4 linked regions of the Nothobranchius furzeri genome follow. Each later gene encodes a partner of the first gene's protein in a complex. Links are inferred from orthologs where the notes say so. Each region holds a gene or a part of one and is shown in the gene's direction. Other genes may lie near its edges. The genes, in order: fnip1, lamtor2, lamtor5 and flcn.

What was found.
Region 2: fnip1 (region 1) and lamtor2 share a complex: the UniProt entries of both Homo sapiens proteins name them as parts of the lysosomal folliculin complex. The link is inferred for Nothobranchius furzeri from reciprocal best matches to the Homo sapiens genes FNIP1 and LAMTOR2.
Region 3: fnip1 (region 1) and lamtor5 share a complex: the UniProt entries of both Homo sapiens proteins name them as parts of the lysosomal folliculin complex. The link is inferred for Nothobranchius furzeri from reciprocal best matches to the Homo sapiens genes FNIP1 and LAMTOR5.
Region 4: fnip1 (region 1) and flcn share a complex: the UniProt entries of both Homo sapiens proteins name them as parts of the lysosomal folliculin complex. The link is inferred for Nothobranchius furzeri from reciprocal best matches to the Homo sapiens genes FNIP1 and FLCN.

Annotation. Positions count from the first base shown.
Region 1 is NC_091750.1:58,896,529-58,900,608, forward strand, and holds the start of fnip1 (folliculin-interacting protein 1), read left to right. Parts: upstream 1-1,232; 5' UTR 1,233-1,338; coding exon 1,339-1,430; intron 1,431-4,080. UniProt on the Homo sapiens protein: Binding partner of the GTPase-activating protein FLCN: involved in the cellular response to amino acid availability by regulating the non-canonical mTORC1 signaling cascade controlling the MiT/TFE factors TFEB and TFE3.
Region 2 is NC_091745.1:61,225,371-61,229,374, reverse strand, and holds lamtor2 (ragulator complex protein LAMTOR2), read left to right. Parts: upstream 1-1,310; 5' UTR 1,311-1,527; coding exon 1,528-1,595; intron 1,596-2,057; coding exon 2,058-2,220; intron 2,221-2,305; coding exon 2,306-2,395; intron 2,396-2,957; coding exon 2,958-3,014; 3' UTR 3,015-3,456; downstream 3,457-4,004. UniProt on the Homo sapiens protein: As part of the Ragulator complex it is involved in amino acid sensing and activation of mTORC1, a signaling complex promoting cell growth in response to growth factors, energy levels, and amino acids.
Region 3 is NC_091755.1:27,982,277-27,986,429, forward strand, and holds the start of lamtor5 (ragulator complex protein LAMTOR5), read left to right. Parts: upstream 1-1,321; 5' UTR 1,322-1,428; coding exon 1,429-1,463; intron 1,464-1,543; coding exon 1,544-1,605; intron 1,606-3,145; coding exon 3,146-3,263; intron 3,264-4,153. UniProt on the Homo sapiens protein: As part of the Ragulator complex it is involved in amino acid sensing and activation of mTORC1, a signaling complex promoting cell growth in response to growth factors, energy levels, and amino acids.
Region 4 is NC_091745.1:76,768,630-76,772,892, reverse strand, and holds the start of flcn (folliculin), read left to right. Parts: upstream 1-1,414; 5' UTR 1,415-1,621; intron 1,622-1,739; coding exon 1,740-1,946; intron 1,947-2,280; coding exon 2,281-2,427; intron 2,428-2,513; coding exon 2,514-2,735; intron 2,736-2,840; coding exon 2,841-3,007; intron 3,008-3,104; coding exon 3,105-3,196; intron 3,197-4,263. Other genes in the region: leng9 (leukocyte receptor cluster member 9), read right to left, coding at 828-933. UniProt on the Homo sapiens protein: Multi-functional protein, involved in both the cellular response to amino acid availability and in the regulation of glycolysis.

The DNA of each region.
Region 1 (4,080 bases):
GCCAGCATGTTAACTTGTGTGCCGCATGCAAATGTTTGGGGTGGGATTTTACGAAATTCCGCACTGTGATTGGTTGTCATATTTTATTTTGACACAGGGAGCCAATAGAGAGTCTTAATTTGAGAAATTCTCCGCCTCCTAATTAGAATGCTGCGCAACTAGCTAGCTAGTGTGAATGTAGACTTGAACTAGTTTACTAGTATACATTTATGTCCTCACTAGTTAACTAGTTTGGACAATGGATGCATCAACTAGGTAACTAGTGAGCCTGCTGCCATCAACTAGCTAGCTAGTGAGTCATTAATGGTTCACTAGTTAACTAGTGGCACTGACCTACTCCAACTAGTTAACTAGTTAGGAGTTAAGCCTTCACTAGTTAACTAGTGTGCACATTTTGGCCATCAATAGTTAACTAGTGAGACACAAAAAACCTTCAACTAGCTGACTGGTATGCACTTTGGCCTTTACTAGTTAACTAGTGAGCCATTTATGTGTCAACTAGTTAACTAGTGAAGCCAAAATGTGTTCACTAGTTAACTAGTGCACATTTATGTCTACCACAAGTTAACTAGTGTGCACATTTTGGCCATCACTAGTTAACTAGTGAGACACAAAAACCTTCAACTAGCTGACTGGTGTGCATTTTGGTCTTTACTAGTTAACTAGTGAGCCATTTATGTGTCAACTAGTTAACTAGTGAAGCCAAAATATGTTCACTAGTTAACTAGTGCACATTTATGTCTACCACAAGTTAACTAGTGTGCACATTTTGACCCTCACTAGTTAACTAGTGAGACAAATACCTTCAACTAGCTGACTGGTATACATTTCTGCTTTTACTAGTTAACTAGTGAGCAGTTTTTGTGTCAACTAGTTAACTACTGAAGCCTAAATGTGTTCACTAGTTAACTAGTGCGCATTTCTGCTGCCACTAGTTAACTAGTGGGCACATTTTCACCCTCGATATTTAACTAGTTGACACAAACATGCCTAACTAGTTAACTAGTGGACAGAAATGGCTTACATGTTCATGACAATTCTGGCTGATATCCTGATATCAGAATAAATGCTCATTTGGCTTGCCATACAGACCAAACATCAACACAGCGAACCCTCTAACCACGTGGTACCCAGCCAATAATATCAGCCAATCACGTAATTTGTTGCAGCTACCACGCCTGCTGAGCCAATCACAAAAAAGCAGTGGGTTACTAAGCAGCTCCTGTGACTAATGCCTGTCATATGACTCTGACACCCATGGAGACAGTTACAAGGAACAAGATTTCCTCTCGGATTTAAAAACAAAAGAAAACTGTAGAGAATTTCTTTTGGTTGAAAATGCCTCCGACTCTCTTCCAGAAACTTTTCAACAAGAGAAGTGCAGTCTCGTCGCCGCCTCCGAGATGTAGCAAAGGGGATCCCGCTTTCAGGTAGCTGTTTTGTGTTTGTAAATATGTTTGTGTGCAACGTTAATTGCGCTAAAATTGTGTAATTTGTTAACCTGTGTGGATGTTTAACGGTCTTCTAGTGATACTTGATTTGTTTTTAGCCGGCTGGGGTGTACACAAAAAATCTTTATCCTTTAGAAATTTAAACCTTGGTGAAGGAAAGCGGTTGGAGACGTGGGAAACGTGCTTGTTGTTGGTGAGGAAGCTAACGTGCTAACGATAGCTCCTAGCAATGCTACTGCCCACGCTGCATTAGTAGCTTCCCTCGACAGCCGATTTAAACAAAAAGCCCTCATCGTTTGCAGTTGATACGAAGTTAGCACAAAATGCCTTGTCTGGAAAGTGTCGTTTTCCACTTCATTGCTATGAAGTTGCAGAGGCATGTCCTTGTTTTTTTTCCTCCGCGTGTTTCCGCTCGAGTTTTTTGTTGTTACTGGCGATACAGGCAGTTTATCTCTAGCTAGCATGAATAAATTGGTATAAGTGGCTTTTCTCAGCCTTGCAGACGTTGCTGTGTGGTTAGACAACAGTGGAGGACACTGTGTGCTCTAGCGGAGAGCATGTGATGGCTCAACTTGGCCACCAAGGCACGGATCAATGCCAAACAGGGCATCAGCCTGCAGGTCATTCACAACGTTATGTATATTTTAAAGGAAAATTAAATATTGCTTCTCACACACGTTTCATTTCCAAAGTAATTTTGTAAAAAATATAATTTCGAGTTTGAAGTGCTTTCATTATATTTATTATTGCCTGGAATCACAATGTTTCCATTATTTTAGCCCTAAAATTAGATAAAAGAACTGCTTTGATGAACATTTTTGGCTTTTTTTTTCAGTTTAATAAACAGGCAGTTAAAAATAACAGTTTGAACATTTGTATTTTTTCCCTGAAATACATGTTTTTAATCTTTTTAGAGACCACTGATTTTAGTTAAAAACAGGGGCAGATTTAGGACTGAAGAAGATCCGGGGCTTAACACACACACACACACACACACACACACGCACACACACACACACACACGCACACACATGACACGCACTAGTCAACATATATATTTGTCTTGTACCACATAATTTTTAATCTGAAGCTACTTATTAAGCATATTCAGGGCAGAGTATTGTTCCTGTTAATGGTTAGTGTGAGATGATAGTAAATATTCCCTTTCTTTCTCCAACAACTTTACCTGATAAGCTAACTTTAGGCAAACCAGCAGCACAACAAATATTTTCAAATAAGACTCACAAACCTGAGTCAACACCAGTCTCATCAAAGCTGGGGTTCTGTCGTTGTACTTTTGGTCTAAAAAACGTCCTTATGTCCATCTTCACACATGCGTTTCAGGCAGACTAGAAGAAGCCGGCTGCTGAAGGGCTTTTTCTTCAGTAGTGGAGGCTCAGGCAGGCTGTATACAAACTACTGCCAGCTGCTCCCTCTCTGTTGGACTTTGGTACTGCATGTTACTTCCGCGATTTAGATCAGGGGCTTTTCATAAAACATCCGGGGCTTCAGCCCAAGTAGCCGGGCCTAATGCCGCCCTCGGTTAAAAAGCAGCCAAATCAAAAAGAACAATACATTATTATATTGTTATTAATAATAATGTTATTTGAAAAGGGACCCGCCCACTGGCAGAGCAGCAGGCACCTTAATAATAATAATAATAATTAATAAACCTCTCTGCCTCTGAAGGTGTTTAAACCTGCAAAAAAGACTACTTCCTTTGCTTCTATCTCAATAAATACACAAATTGCAGATGATTTGGGTAATCATGTCAAATAATATTTTCCATTTGACTTTTGTCATTTCTACCTGTCTAATCAAACAATGAATGTATGCCAATGTACATATCATTAAAAAATGTCTTTTTAGCCAGAATTTTTTAATGAATATATAATTAAACAAAAGCCCTAATTTTATGGTTATATTAATCTGTTATTTACATGCTTTCTTTTGCCATTTCACCGATTTGCAGTGGCATTGTCTCAAGTAATTGTAAGCAAATGTTTGAGTTCTTGTGATATTTTTCAGGCCTAACCCATTTATTTTATTCCTGTTAATTACATTCAATTAAACGATGATACTTTGGGGGACAAAGGTGTTTAATGAGAGCAGAATACATGCGCATGCTGCATATGAAATGAAGAATATCTAAGACCAGTACTAAGCTGTATAAGTATTTATTGAGGTAATAGTTAATGTGGTAGAACCATGCATCTTTGAGAAGGTTAGCGTAATACTAGGAAACTCAGTTAATTTGCACATTTGTATGTTCAGGGTCAGGTATGCTACCAAGGAGAACGGACTTTAGAGTTGCAAATGCCTTTTCATTTTGAAAGATGTTGCTGCCATCTTTTCATGTTATTTTGGATATATATTTATATCCAAAAAGTGCACCTCCTTTGCGGTGCTTCTTGCACGTTGACCAATGTTGTGTCATAACATTTCTGCAGCTGTAAAGGTGCCCTGCACCCACTGATGTAAAGGCTGTGTGTGTGGGCTGAAGGGAGGGTGGAGGTGGCTGGCATCAGTCCTAGAGCAAACAGACAGTCAGCAGGCGTTTCTGTTAACTCAGTGGTCAGCTGTGCTCTTCATACCTCTGGCATAAGCTCTCCATTCATCAAGCACCAAG
Region 2 (4,004 bases), on another chromosome or scaffold:
TAAAATAACCACGTTAATAAAAATATTTCTTTCTGTAACGAGCAAACTAATTAATTACCGTCTTCTTTTATCAAAACATCGTTTCTGTTACTGATAAGAAAATGCGTGCGTGAAGCAGCGCGGTGTGTTGAAGCTGTTATCATCAGCTGATCAGGAGCTAAAGAGGTAGATGTTTTCATCCAAGTGCGTCACGGCCCGTGAAGAACGAGGAACACGTGATGAATATCTACGGCTGCAGGTGCGGGTCTGCAGCCGTGCCCTTCTTAGCGTGACAGCGGGACGTCCCGAAGGTCCGCTCAGACGTCCTGATCTTCTACCTTCCTAGATCATCCAGCTGTAACCTGTTTCTGATCATGTCTTTAGTCCCGCTGTAACACTGATGCATCAGTCTCAGACGTCATGGAGCTCAGGTGTTATCAGAACTGTGTGTGTTCACCACCCAGCTTCAGCTCTTCTGTGGTTGGGTCTGACCCAAGTTAGTAAATGTAAGTCCTCCATCAGATCTGTGCCTCTTCTAGTGTCATTTTAAAGGATATTTATTTATTTATTTAACCGTTACTAGATTAGCAGCAACAGAAATGCTGCTAAAAACACACAATTATGTGAAGCTGGAAAAATTAGAATACTGTGCAAAATTACATTTATTTCTGTAATTTAACTAGACTGAGAGACCATTTAAAGGCTCGGGAACCTTTACAGGTGTTTCTATTTGCAATTTTAAATTTTAGCTGATTGGGGTCTTGTTAAATATCACACAGTGACCTTTTAATAGTCTAGATTAGTGTAATGTTCCTATTAGTAGTTCCTCCTGTTAAGTGCATATTTGTTTAAATTATTCAGGTTTATATAAAACATTTGGACATACATTTTATTATGTTCAGTCATTAGTCATTTATATTTTACTATTGTAGTAATTCTTGCATTCTTTAATGAAAAAAGTAACTAAGTAGTTACTTTTGTTGGTAATTAGTTACTTTTATGATCTTGTAACTCAGTTAGTAACTGAGTTACTTTTTTGACAAAGTAATCAGTAACTATAACTAATTACTTTTTTAAAGTAACGTTCCCAACACTGCTTATTATTACAATCATGTCTTCATATACAATACATGATATCCACAAGCACGTGAGGATGTGTTTCAGCTGCTAACAGGCACCAGAATTAAAATTGAAAATTAAACAAGTAACTCTAACGCGATATCTTCAGCCATCCTACACATGCAGGAAATTGTGTCCGACCTAAACGCCGGCTTTCAGCCACTCCCCCTGCTGCTTCCGTCTGCTCTCGTCTGTTTTCCAGGCGAGGCCATCAACTCGAGCACGGCCAATGAAAATCCTTTTTAGTTACGACCGCGAGACAACATTTCCCAAAGTGCAATGCGAAGGAAGCCGGAAATGCGGAAAGACAAGTCAGCTGACTGCCTGGACGCATTGCTCTTCACGTACATCAACATACTATCAAAATACTTCGTGTTTTTTTCTTATTATTATTAAAACCGTTTTTATTCTTTGGTGAGGTCGACAGCGATGTTGCGACCCAAAGCTCTGACGCAGGTCCTCAGCCAAGCGAACACAAACGGAGTCCAGAGCACTCTGTAAGTACGAGTTAGCGACAAGCTAACGAGATGCTAAGATGCTATTTACTCTGACTCTTAGCTGCTTATCGTTTTTTGTACAAGGAAAGCTCGCCCAAAGAAAAATAAGCGTTGTTTTTTGGGAACTCTTAATGCTTAAAAGACATAATTTTAGTTATTTGAATGTAAAACTTGCGCATTTAATGATTTTTATCGTAGCTGTTTTTATAATGTCACAGATTAGAACGCTGTTGCAACAGATCCTAACAAATACCTCGGTTTATAATGATCAATTTCAATGAGATGATTTATAAAATATTTCTAATTTACACATTAGTGTCTAAAATAGTCAACCTTTCTAAATGTTAATTGTATGATGAGGCATTAGCTGCACCATCTAAACATACATCAAGATTATTTCTAACAACACAGATAACTTATGAGTAGGCTGTCTTAGTATGTGTCACGTGTTTATCCTCTCAGCTTGCTGAATAATGAAGGTTCCCTCCTGGCTTACTCTGGTTATGGAGATACCGATGCACGCGTAACAGCTGCCATCGCCAGCAACATCTGGGCAGCTTACGACAAGAATGGCCACCAAGCCTTCAACGAAGACAAGCTTACCTTCATCCTCATGGACTGTATGGTGAGAAACACAGCTCCGATTCAGGCTAAAACATTAGGCTGACCTCAAATTGTAACCTTCTTCTGTGTATTTGTTTTTTTTTAAGGAGGGAAGAGTGGCCATCACTCGTGTAGCCAACCTGCTGCTGTGCATATATGCCAAAGAGACTGTGGGATTCGGGATGCTGAAAGCCAAGGTGAGAGTTCGGGGCCTTTTCTTCTAATTGTTTCCCACGTTTTGCTTTTTATTGGTAAAGATTTTATGTGTTGGAGCTCTTCTGTCAATTGAGTTTAAAGCATTATTTTACAACAGTTGTTTGGATGGCAAAGAAAACTGCTTTTAACTTTGCTTTTAACCCTTTCAACACTTTCTATTGACATATTCTGTTCACATATATTAAACGTAAGTCTTAACTAAAACGTTTTATACTTAAAGGGCTAAAATGTAAGGGCAGATCATTAAATAAACCATTGAATGTGCAAATCATTTGAAACTAATCATTTAAACACAGATTAAACCACTTTTAGTATTTCTGAGGAATGTGCTGAGTGGTTCTAGACTTCTGTTCCACTGTTTAAAACAGGAAGTCCTTTAGAGTGACCCAGGGAGGCACGTGGATGAGGTTCATCAGGTTTGTCCAGCTAGAGCAGCTCATGGAGAACCCAGCTAAATCTGAACTGAGGCTGAAGTTTCTGATCAGTTTAAAGGTCGTACCAGATTTAATCTTTTCCAGTAATTGTGCTTTATTGTGTTTGTAGGCAGAGGCTCTGGTTCAGTATCTGGAGGAACCGTTGACTCAAGTGGCCGCATCGTAGTGAAGATCCGACCAACGCTTCTGTTGGTCTGAACTGAAGAAGAAATCAGCTGTTCAGGTCATCGGTGGACTGCTGTAACCCTCCTGTCCAACACTAAGTGTACAAAGGGCCATGTCTCTAAATGGAGGGGTGTGTGTGTGTGTGTGTGTGTGTGTGTGTGTGTGTGTGTGTGTGTGTGTGTGTGTGTGTGTGTGTGTGTGTGTGTGTGTGTGTGTGTGTGTACAGCTGAAATGTGATTCCATTTTCAGTTTTCACTTGGAATCGGTCCATTCGGTCATAGTTTTGTTGTTCAATGTGAAACTGAACATTTTTAGGAGTCACAGATGTACATCATGATAAAAACGTGTGTGGAGATTTTATATGAATCTTTCTGAAAAATGCAGTTGAGATTGTTATTTACTTGTGTTTTATGTCAAGGTTGTTTGATAAATGAGAGATACTGGCTCAGAGTCACCCATTCTTTTAAATCCTGCTTTGAGCTGGTGACGGTTGGGTGTGTTTCACCCTCGTATACACCTCTGAACGTTTTTAAACAATTTTAAATATGCAGTATCAGGTGAGATAAACTTAAATTTGCTCTGAAAATCTTGTGAAAGGGAGAATTTGCGGGTTTAGAGAAGCTTACCTTGCTTGTCTTTGAGTTTCATCACCAGATAATTTTATTTCTTTCAGTAATCACAGATTTCACAAAAATCTGATGAAACTTTTCACTCTTTCAGTATCCAATACTTTAAAAACAAAACCTTTTTTAATAAGTCAGAAGATCTGGGTAACTTAAAAGCTAAGAAAACTCACGAGTGCATGTGCATTCTGTTTAACTCCATTTAATCAACTAATGAGTTTTAATTGATACCAGTTAGTGATTTTCTCTTGAGGCATTAGCATCAAATATACTTTCTCACCTGCAGCCAGATAAAGAAAGTCTCAGCTTTCAAAATAAAAATTTTAATCACCCAAACCTGGAGTTAAATGCCTATACAGTTTTGCAAT
Region 3 (4,153 bases), on another chromosome or scaffold:
ATAAGATAAGAGATATAAAATATATAGAGGCTGGTATGTGCAAAACAGTGGCATTAATGTACAGTATGGAATGTGTAATGTTGGAGTTTCAGTAGTGAGGGTGAGGTGTCTGTGAAGTGTTCAGCAGTCTGATGGCCTGATGGAAAAAGCTGTCTCTCAGTCTGCTGGTTCTGGACCGGATGCTGCAGAACCTCCTTCCTGATGGAAGTAGTCTGAACAGTTTATGGCTGGGGTGACTTGAGTCCTTGATGATCCTCCCCGTTTTCCTCAGGCACCGCTTCTTATAGATGTCCTGGAGGGAGGGAAGCTCACCTCCAATAATCCTTTCTGCACACCGCACTACTCTCTGGAGAGCTTTGCGGTTGTAAGCGGTGCTGTTGCCATACCAGGTGGAGATGCATCCAGTGAGGATGCTCTCAATGGCACAGCAATAGAAGGTCCTGAGGATACGGTGGCTCATGCCAAATCTTTTCAGTCTTCTGAGAAAGAAGAGGCGCTGCTGTGCCTTCTTCACTGTATTTTCCGTGTGCACTGACCACGTAAGATCCTCTGCCAGGTGAACTCCAAGGAAACGGAAACTGCTCACCCTCTCCACAGCGTCGCCGTTGATGGTGATGGGGGGGTGTATTCCTCTGCTTCCTCTGCTCCTCCGGAAGTCCACTATCATCTCCTTTGTCTTTGTGACGTTGAGGGTGAGACTGTTGTCCTGACACCAGTGGGTCAGGGCGCTGATCTCCTCCCTGTAGGCCGTCTCATCGTGATTGGTGATGAGACCTATCACTGTGGTGTCGTTCGCATACTTCACAATGATGTTGGAGTTTCTCGTGGCCGTGCAGTCGTAGGTGTAGAGTGAGTACAGGAGAGGGCTCAGCACACACCCCTGCGGTGCACCAGTGTTCAGTGTGACGGGGGATGAGGTGGTGCCGCCCATAACATTATTATTATTATTATTATTATTGGAAAATTTAATAAAACTTGAAGGAAAATGCTAATTCTTTCTATCTATCTATCTATCTATCTATCTATCTATCTATCTATCTATCTATCTATCAATCTATCAATCTATCTATCTATCTATCTATCTATCATCTATCTATCTATCTATCTATCTATCTATCTATCTATCTATCTATCTATCTATCTATCTATCTATCTATCTATCTATCTATCTATCTATCTATCTATCTATCTATCTATCTATCAATCATCTATCTATCTATCTATGCCTATTTTGTTTATGTAATGTAAATGGAAAGATTTTGCGTTCTCTCTCTCTCTCTCTCTCTCTCTCTCTCTCTCTTTCTCTTTCGCGTCACACTTTTTGGTCCTCGTTGTGACTCGTAGCGCACGTGACGGTCAGCTGACTCTAACCGGAAACGTCGATGAAACTGTAAACAATTAAACCTTCTCTCTTTTCGTTTGTTAACGATGGAGTCGACTCTTGAACAGCATCTCGATGACACGTACGTTAAAAATCTCACTCTAACTGCTGACGTACTTCACTTTTTGTTTCATTAAAGCCTTTCTCCTTGTTTTTTTGTAGCATGAAGAATCCAGCAGTTGTCGGTGTGCTCTGCACAGATCACCAAGGACACAACCTGGGCTGTAAGATTAATTTAAAAAAGATTTACAGCAAAATGTATGAAACATATTCGGTTTAGTTAGCTTTTACAAGGCTACGTCAGTGTCGTGTTCTTTTTTTTTTGAATAATGAAATAACTTAGTTGCAGCAAAAGCTATTAATGTAACACACAAATAATATTATTTCCTTCAGTTTAGCTATTTTCATCTGTAAAGGTTGAAATACATACTACAGTATAGTTGAAGTTACTGTGAATCATACATTTCAACCATTAAAATCTCAACTTATTTCACATGCCAGAAAATCTTCACAGTGTTTGCACTGTTAGCATAATGAGATTAGCATTTCTGATGGAATGAGCTCTTCTGGCTGTTTAACAGGTCAACAGGAAGCTGCTGTAATTAAATTTAATCACAAAGGCTAATGAGGTATAATTAAAATTAAAATGTAATGTTTTTATAATTCTCTAAACACAACCAATCCAAAATGATGCTTATAATTGTTTATTGTTGATTATTACTCATAAACTAATAAATACTAAATGCTTAATAACCACGCAGTTAGTTAGTGAGGTCATTTATGAACATTATTCACATACAACAATTACTGTCATTGGGAAAGTGAATACTCCGTGGAATTGATTCTGTGTTACTTGTTTGGCTTCCATGGTTTAGTTTGAACTTTGATCTCTTCTACAATTCATCAAACTTCAGGGAGATGAACATGCTCTAAATTTTACTTAGGCTGTGAATTCAGAACATATCCAGTCCATTTTCATCAGCTGTGCAATGAAACACAAAGCAGAACAACTGATGATAATATAAAGTAATTATTTTACTTCCCAGAGGACTCCTGCAGCAGCTGACAGGTATCATGTGGTCTGAAGAATCACAGCTTGACGGTTGCTGGAGCATAGAACTTGCTGGAGGGGCTGTCTGCCCTCTAGCTGTCTTGATGGAGATGGAGAGTCACTGAGATCAGAGAAATCTGAGCTTCGCTCCTGGACCTGTTAGCAACCCAGACTTTGATAATTGGAAGAAAAATGATGGATATATCAGTATATATATTTTTTCTGTTCGGTTTAATTAATATTTATAACAGAGGCATCCAGCAAAGTCTAAGCTCTTTGTTAGCGTCCTCATACTTTTATTATCTTTTTAGGTCTTGTTGAAAGTTATTTTGAAAAGGTTATGATGTAACTGTTGGAAGTGGGTAAACATGAGTATTGTTTTGTGTAGTCAGTAGCAATGTTTCCCTGGTACATGGACAAACCTAAATGAAATAGTCAAAAGATGCAGAAGACAGAAACCAAACAATGAGTTCAACATGATTCAGATCCTCGAGAGACCCCAGAATTCAGAAATCCTCAGTCTGGACTAAATAACAGCAGTGGGACAGAAATGTTTGTAATATGTTAACAATCCTTCATAAGGAGGTCATTGTTGTATACAGGTTTGGAATTAACACAAATCACAGAAAATGACTGTTTGAAAGATGCACTGATTTCCTTTTTTTAAGACATTTAAATAATTCATTGCGTGTTTCTTTTCTTTTTTCTTTTAGGTCGTGGCTCCTTGTCTGATGAACATGGTGGTGTTGTGTCTGTTTTGTCCAAACAAGCTATGGCGCTCACCAGAGACCCAACAGTCACCCCGACCGTGTGCCTGGAGTCTGAGTCAGGGTGAGAGCACTGACCGGGTTTTAGCTTGACTTGTAATTCTTTTTAAAAATCTATCTCGGGGTATTTAAGATGTACCTTTGGGGGTTCTGATTAATGTGTACGGAGATCAATTACTCTAAAAAAAGCTTTTTGAGAGAGATCAGAACCAGAGACTCAGGGTTCTGAATCTGATCCAGTGGTTCACTGTCTCCCAGCAGCTATTAGCATCCGGGTCCGAGCCTTCATCGCGGTTGCTAAAACCAGTACGCTTATCTGGTTCCTCCAGTTTCTATTTACTTACCAAAGGCAATGCCATTTGTGACTTTGAACTGAACATGCTCGGTTCTTGGCATTAGATTCCAGAATGTTGTTCATTTCTTTCCCAAAAGGCAGCTGAGATATTTTCTTGAGACTCCAAGCCCTTTTTAATTTCCCCTAATAACCTCGTAGACATTTAAATAACCCCATCATCATTAAAAACGGGTCCAAAGTTGAACTACAGAATAAAAAATTAAAAAGCCAATGTCCTCTTTAGTGGACGGAGGCTCCATGGAGGATGGAGAGGGAGGAAGTCAACCAACTGTGGGATTTTATTTATGTCGTTGTGCTGCCATCTTCTGGTAAATGAACATCTCGTCTTTCAGAACATTTTACCAACCCAATGACAGCTCCTGAATATTTATTTATTTAAAATTACTGCTGCGAACTTTCAATCTCAGATATAATTTGTTATCTCAAAAGTCTAAATAACATAAATACAAATACAAACGGTTTTGAGTCCGATTCAAGGCTTATTTTAGCTTTTACATCAGTTATATTCAAACAGTATTTTTAGGTTGTGATTGATCATCTCCACAGCCAGAACTCAGTGTTCCATGAACCACTGGGCCATCGGGACCCCAACTTTTGGA
Region 4 (4,263 bases), on another chromosome or scaffold:
ATTCACACACACATTCATACACTGGTGGGGATGAGCTACAATGTAGCCACAGCTGCCCTGGGGCGCACAGACAGAGGCGAGGCTGCCGAGCACAGGCGCAACCGGACCCCGACCACCACCAGCAGGCAAGGTGGGTTAAGTGTCTTGCCCAAGGACACAACAGCAGAATTATCTGTCCGGAGCCGTGATCGAACCTGCAACCTTCCAATTACTGGACAACCCGCTCAACCTGTTGAGCTACTGAGGTGAGCTACATGTTACAGAGGTGAGGTTAGGGGTTTTCCACCAAAGCAGTTGCATTGCTAGTTCAGAGCCATTGTTTGCTAGATCTTCCTGTTTCGACCACTTGGAATGTGGAGATGGTTAGGGGGCTACCACACTGAGCATCTCTGCTCAACTCTACACCACACATGACTGCAGAAGAGTCACTTCAGCAGAAGGCTGTGGTTGAAAAGTCCCCTCTCCATCCTTGTCACCATTACCAGTGACCTACTGACAAGATGCATCTGTAGAGCAACAGGAAGTGACTGCAACTTGTGGTGAAGATGGCCAAGTCACTGGAGGCTCACTCAGACAACAGAACCAAATCTGACCAACATGACTGGCAGGTGGGTAGACACAGGGAAGAAAGACGGCGAGAGAGAGAGAAATACAGATTTTTTTATATTTATATACATATAAATATACATATATTGAGAGAGAGAGAGAGAGAGAGAGAGAGAGAGAGAGAGAGAGAGAGAGAGAGAGAGAGAGAGAGAGAGAGAGAGAGAGAGAGAGAGAGAGAATGACAGACATGAGAAAAGACAAACACTAAAACAGGCATTTACCTCTCGTGGCTTGTTGGGCATCTTTCCTACTTTTAGTTTCAGCTGGGGGGGTCCCTCCACCGTCCACTGCGGATTCTGGGGGAACTCCTGATCCGTCTGACGCCATTCCCAGTTCAGAAAGGCTCCTACGTCCCTGTTGGGCTTTGCCTTTTCCTTTACAATGAAACACGGAAGTTACTGATGAGCTAATAAAGTAAACACACATGCTGTAAATTCAACATTATACAATGTTAATTACATTTAAATCACAAATACAAACGTTTTAAGAAATGGTGTTTTATATTTATTAAAAGTACATTACCACACGGTCCTCTGTAGCTCCGTACTTTTTAGCACTCTAGAGAAACGCTGACCAACTCATTCGTAACCTTTACCCTCCTCGAACTTAACTCTGGGTAATGTAGTTTTATGTTGTCTTTCGACGAAACACGCTTCGTAAAGTCAAATGCTAGCAACACATTTTCCCATATGAAAACTATCTGCTCACAGACGACATTATTTTATTTTAAATAAATCATAAAATAGTAATTATGATTAAACTTAATCAACTCCGTGACGTACGTCATGATTTGTGTCCGAGCGCGTGACTCGAGGTCACGTGACTGTGCTGTTTGCTAACAACTCGAGACTGAGACGAGAAAGTGCTGAGAGGATTTATTCTCTTGAATTCGCGCGTTTTATACGAGACATGTAGACGAAATATTTGATTTAGCGTCACGCTTTTGTTGTTTATACATTTTTAACACAAACGAGTGAAGCAGCAGCGAGCTCCAGTCTAACTCTCAGTGCTAAAGGTGAGATCCTCTCGTTGCTGCTGGTTAAAATGGCTTAAACGGGTGTTAGCTTGTGAATAAAAACTATGTCATAAATTACGTTGATTAGATTCTCATAAACGCTTGATCCGTTTCTCAGATGAATGCTCTGGTAGCTTTGTGTCACTTCTGTGAGCTCCATGGCCCTCGGACACTATTCTGTACCGAGGCGCTACACCCTCCATCCCCAGACCCCTCCTCTCAGGTGGGCACCCCGGTTCCAGGGGACAGAGATGCTGATCGGGAGGGTGAAGGTCTGACCATGAGGGCCAGCGGGTCTGTGTCTCAAAGAGGGGAGATGTGTGAGGTGAGTGGGCATGCGTGATGGGATCTCACCCACAGTAAACCTTGGAGAAGGTTCATTCAATTCAGTTTATTTATAGTCACGACAACAGTCGTCTCAAGTCACTTCACATAGTAAACATTTCTATACAAAGGAACTCAGCAGATTGCAGTGCTCACACTAAGCAAGTGTGTAGCGACAGTGGAGTGGAAAACTCCCTTTTAGCCCCAGAAGAGCCAGGCTCAGTATGAGCAGCCACCCGCCACAACTCATTATGGTTTAAGAAGATAGAGCAGCAACATTATTTAATAATCCTGTAATCGAAGTTCTCCTTTTCCCTCCTGTCCATGCCTCACAGGGATGCCGATCTCTACCTGCGTCTCACCCAGGCTTCGTGAGCATCGATGATGAAACAGGAATTCGCTTTGTGAGCCATCAGCACCCCAGACAGTCTCAGCTTTTCAGTGTAGTTCGTCAGGCTTGTGTACGCAGTCTCAGCTGTGAGGTAAACTCTACCTGATCTAACTGAGGAGGACCTTTTCTAACCTCCCCTCCTCCAAAAACGCGAGTCTTTTTGTTGTTGGGTTTCAGGTGTGCCCTGGACGTGAAGGGCCGATCTTTTTCGGTGATGAACAACACGGGTTTGTGTTCTCACACACGTTCTTCATCAAGGACAGCCTGGCCCGTGGGTTTCAGCGCTGGTACAGTATAGTTGTAGTGGCCATGGACAGGATCTACCTCATCAACTCCTGGCCTTTCCTGTTACGACACCTCAAACTCACTATACAAAGTCTGCAAAGCACAGCTCTAAAGGTAGAGCCTAAATGTAGACTGTGCATTCATTTTTTTTTACTGGACAAACACTTTGTCATTTTAATAAGTCAGTTTGTGCTGTTTTGCCATCTTTTTGTCCATCAGGTGTTTGACACTGAACAGGGTATTTGTCCCCAGCGAGCTCTGAGGATGAACAGCGTGTTTTCTCCTGCGGTTTTTCCACATCAAAGAAGTGGCAACGCAGCCCGATCGCTAACTTCTCTCACTCAGCATCCCAATCTCTGGGCCAGCCTGCATTGCTCCTTCAGCTGGTGAGTTGAGATAGACTTTTAATAGCCAGCCATTGTGATTTCTCCACGTTACTTTTATGACTTACCAAGCTGATGTGTGTTTTCACTTCCTTTTTAGGTTACTGAAAGCCTGTGGTTGTCGTCTGACAGAAAAGCTCCTTGAAGGAGCCCCAACAGAGGACACGCTGGTTCTTCTTGAGAGAAAAACAGGTAGAAAGACATGATTTCATCAGACATTCACTGCTATGGCTAGTGTTTTTGTTTGTTCAACTAGTCAGCCTGAAATCCGTAAGAGTGAATCACAGAGTCGATCGGGAAAGGCATTTGATCCAGGAAAACATGACACACCACTTCACAGTTAAACCCCGGTTTGTCGAGATTTAGAAAGTGATTAAAAGACTTTTGGAGAATTTTTGGGGCTCGGCCCAGACACGACTGTGGAATGAACTTTGTTCATTGATAAAAAATAAAAATAAATGTCCAAACAAAAACCTTTTTTTTACATGATTCTAAATCATTTAATGGAAATGATCAATGTTTTCTTCAAAAACCACAGAGCAGCTTTGCAGTAGTCACAGCCTGGCAGCCCACAGACATTCCTGGGTGTCTCCTTCTAGCAGATTATCTAATGCGACCCCCCCCCCCCCCCCCCCCCATATACCCTATGGGCCAGCTGTTCCCAGATCAGCGCAACAGGGTTCTGGCACGCAGCAGAAAGAAACATGATATTTTCAAGTGATCTCAAATATTTGTCTGGTAATGTAGATGATAGCTAGCCTGGCCGGCCAGACTCGTCCTCTGTTTAATTCTGCACAAAGAGTCTGGTAACTCACAGGCGGAGAGGCACTTGAGGGGCGGGACTAGACAGCTCAAAAATAACCAATGAGAAAAAAGACGTACATGCCGACTGTACCATGCAACGCTGTAGTTAAAAAATGGCGTCTAGCAACGGCGCAGACATCTATTATTCTTTTAAAGTCAAAGTTAAAGTCCCATTAGTTGTCACACACACAGGTATGTGTGTGACATTTATTCTCCGCATTTGACCCATCCCCTGGGGGAGCGGTGAGCTGCAGACACAGCCGCGCTCGGGAACTATTTGGTGGTTTAAGCCCCCAATCCAACCCCTTAATGCTGAGTGTCAAGCAGGGAGGCATTGGGTCCCAATTTTTCAGTCTTTGGTATGACCCGACCAGGAGTTGAACCCCTGATCTCCCAGTCTCAGGACACTCTACCACTAGGCCACTGAGAAAGGGTAGAAGAAAGGCTTTTAGCAC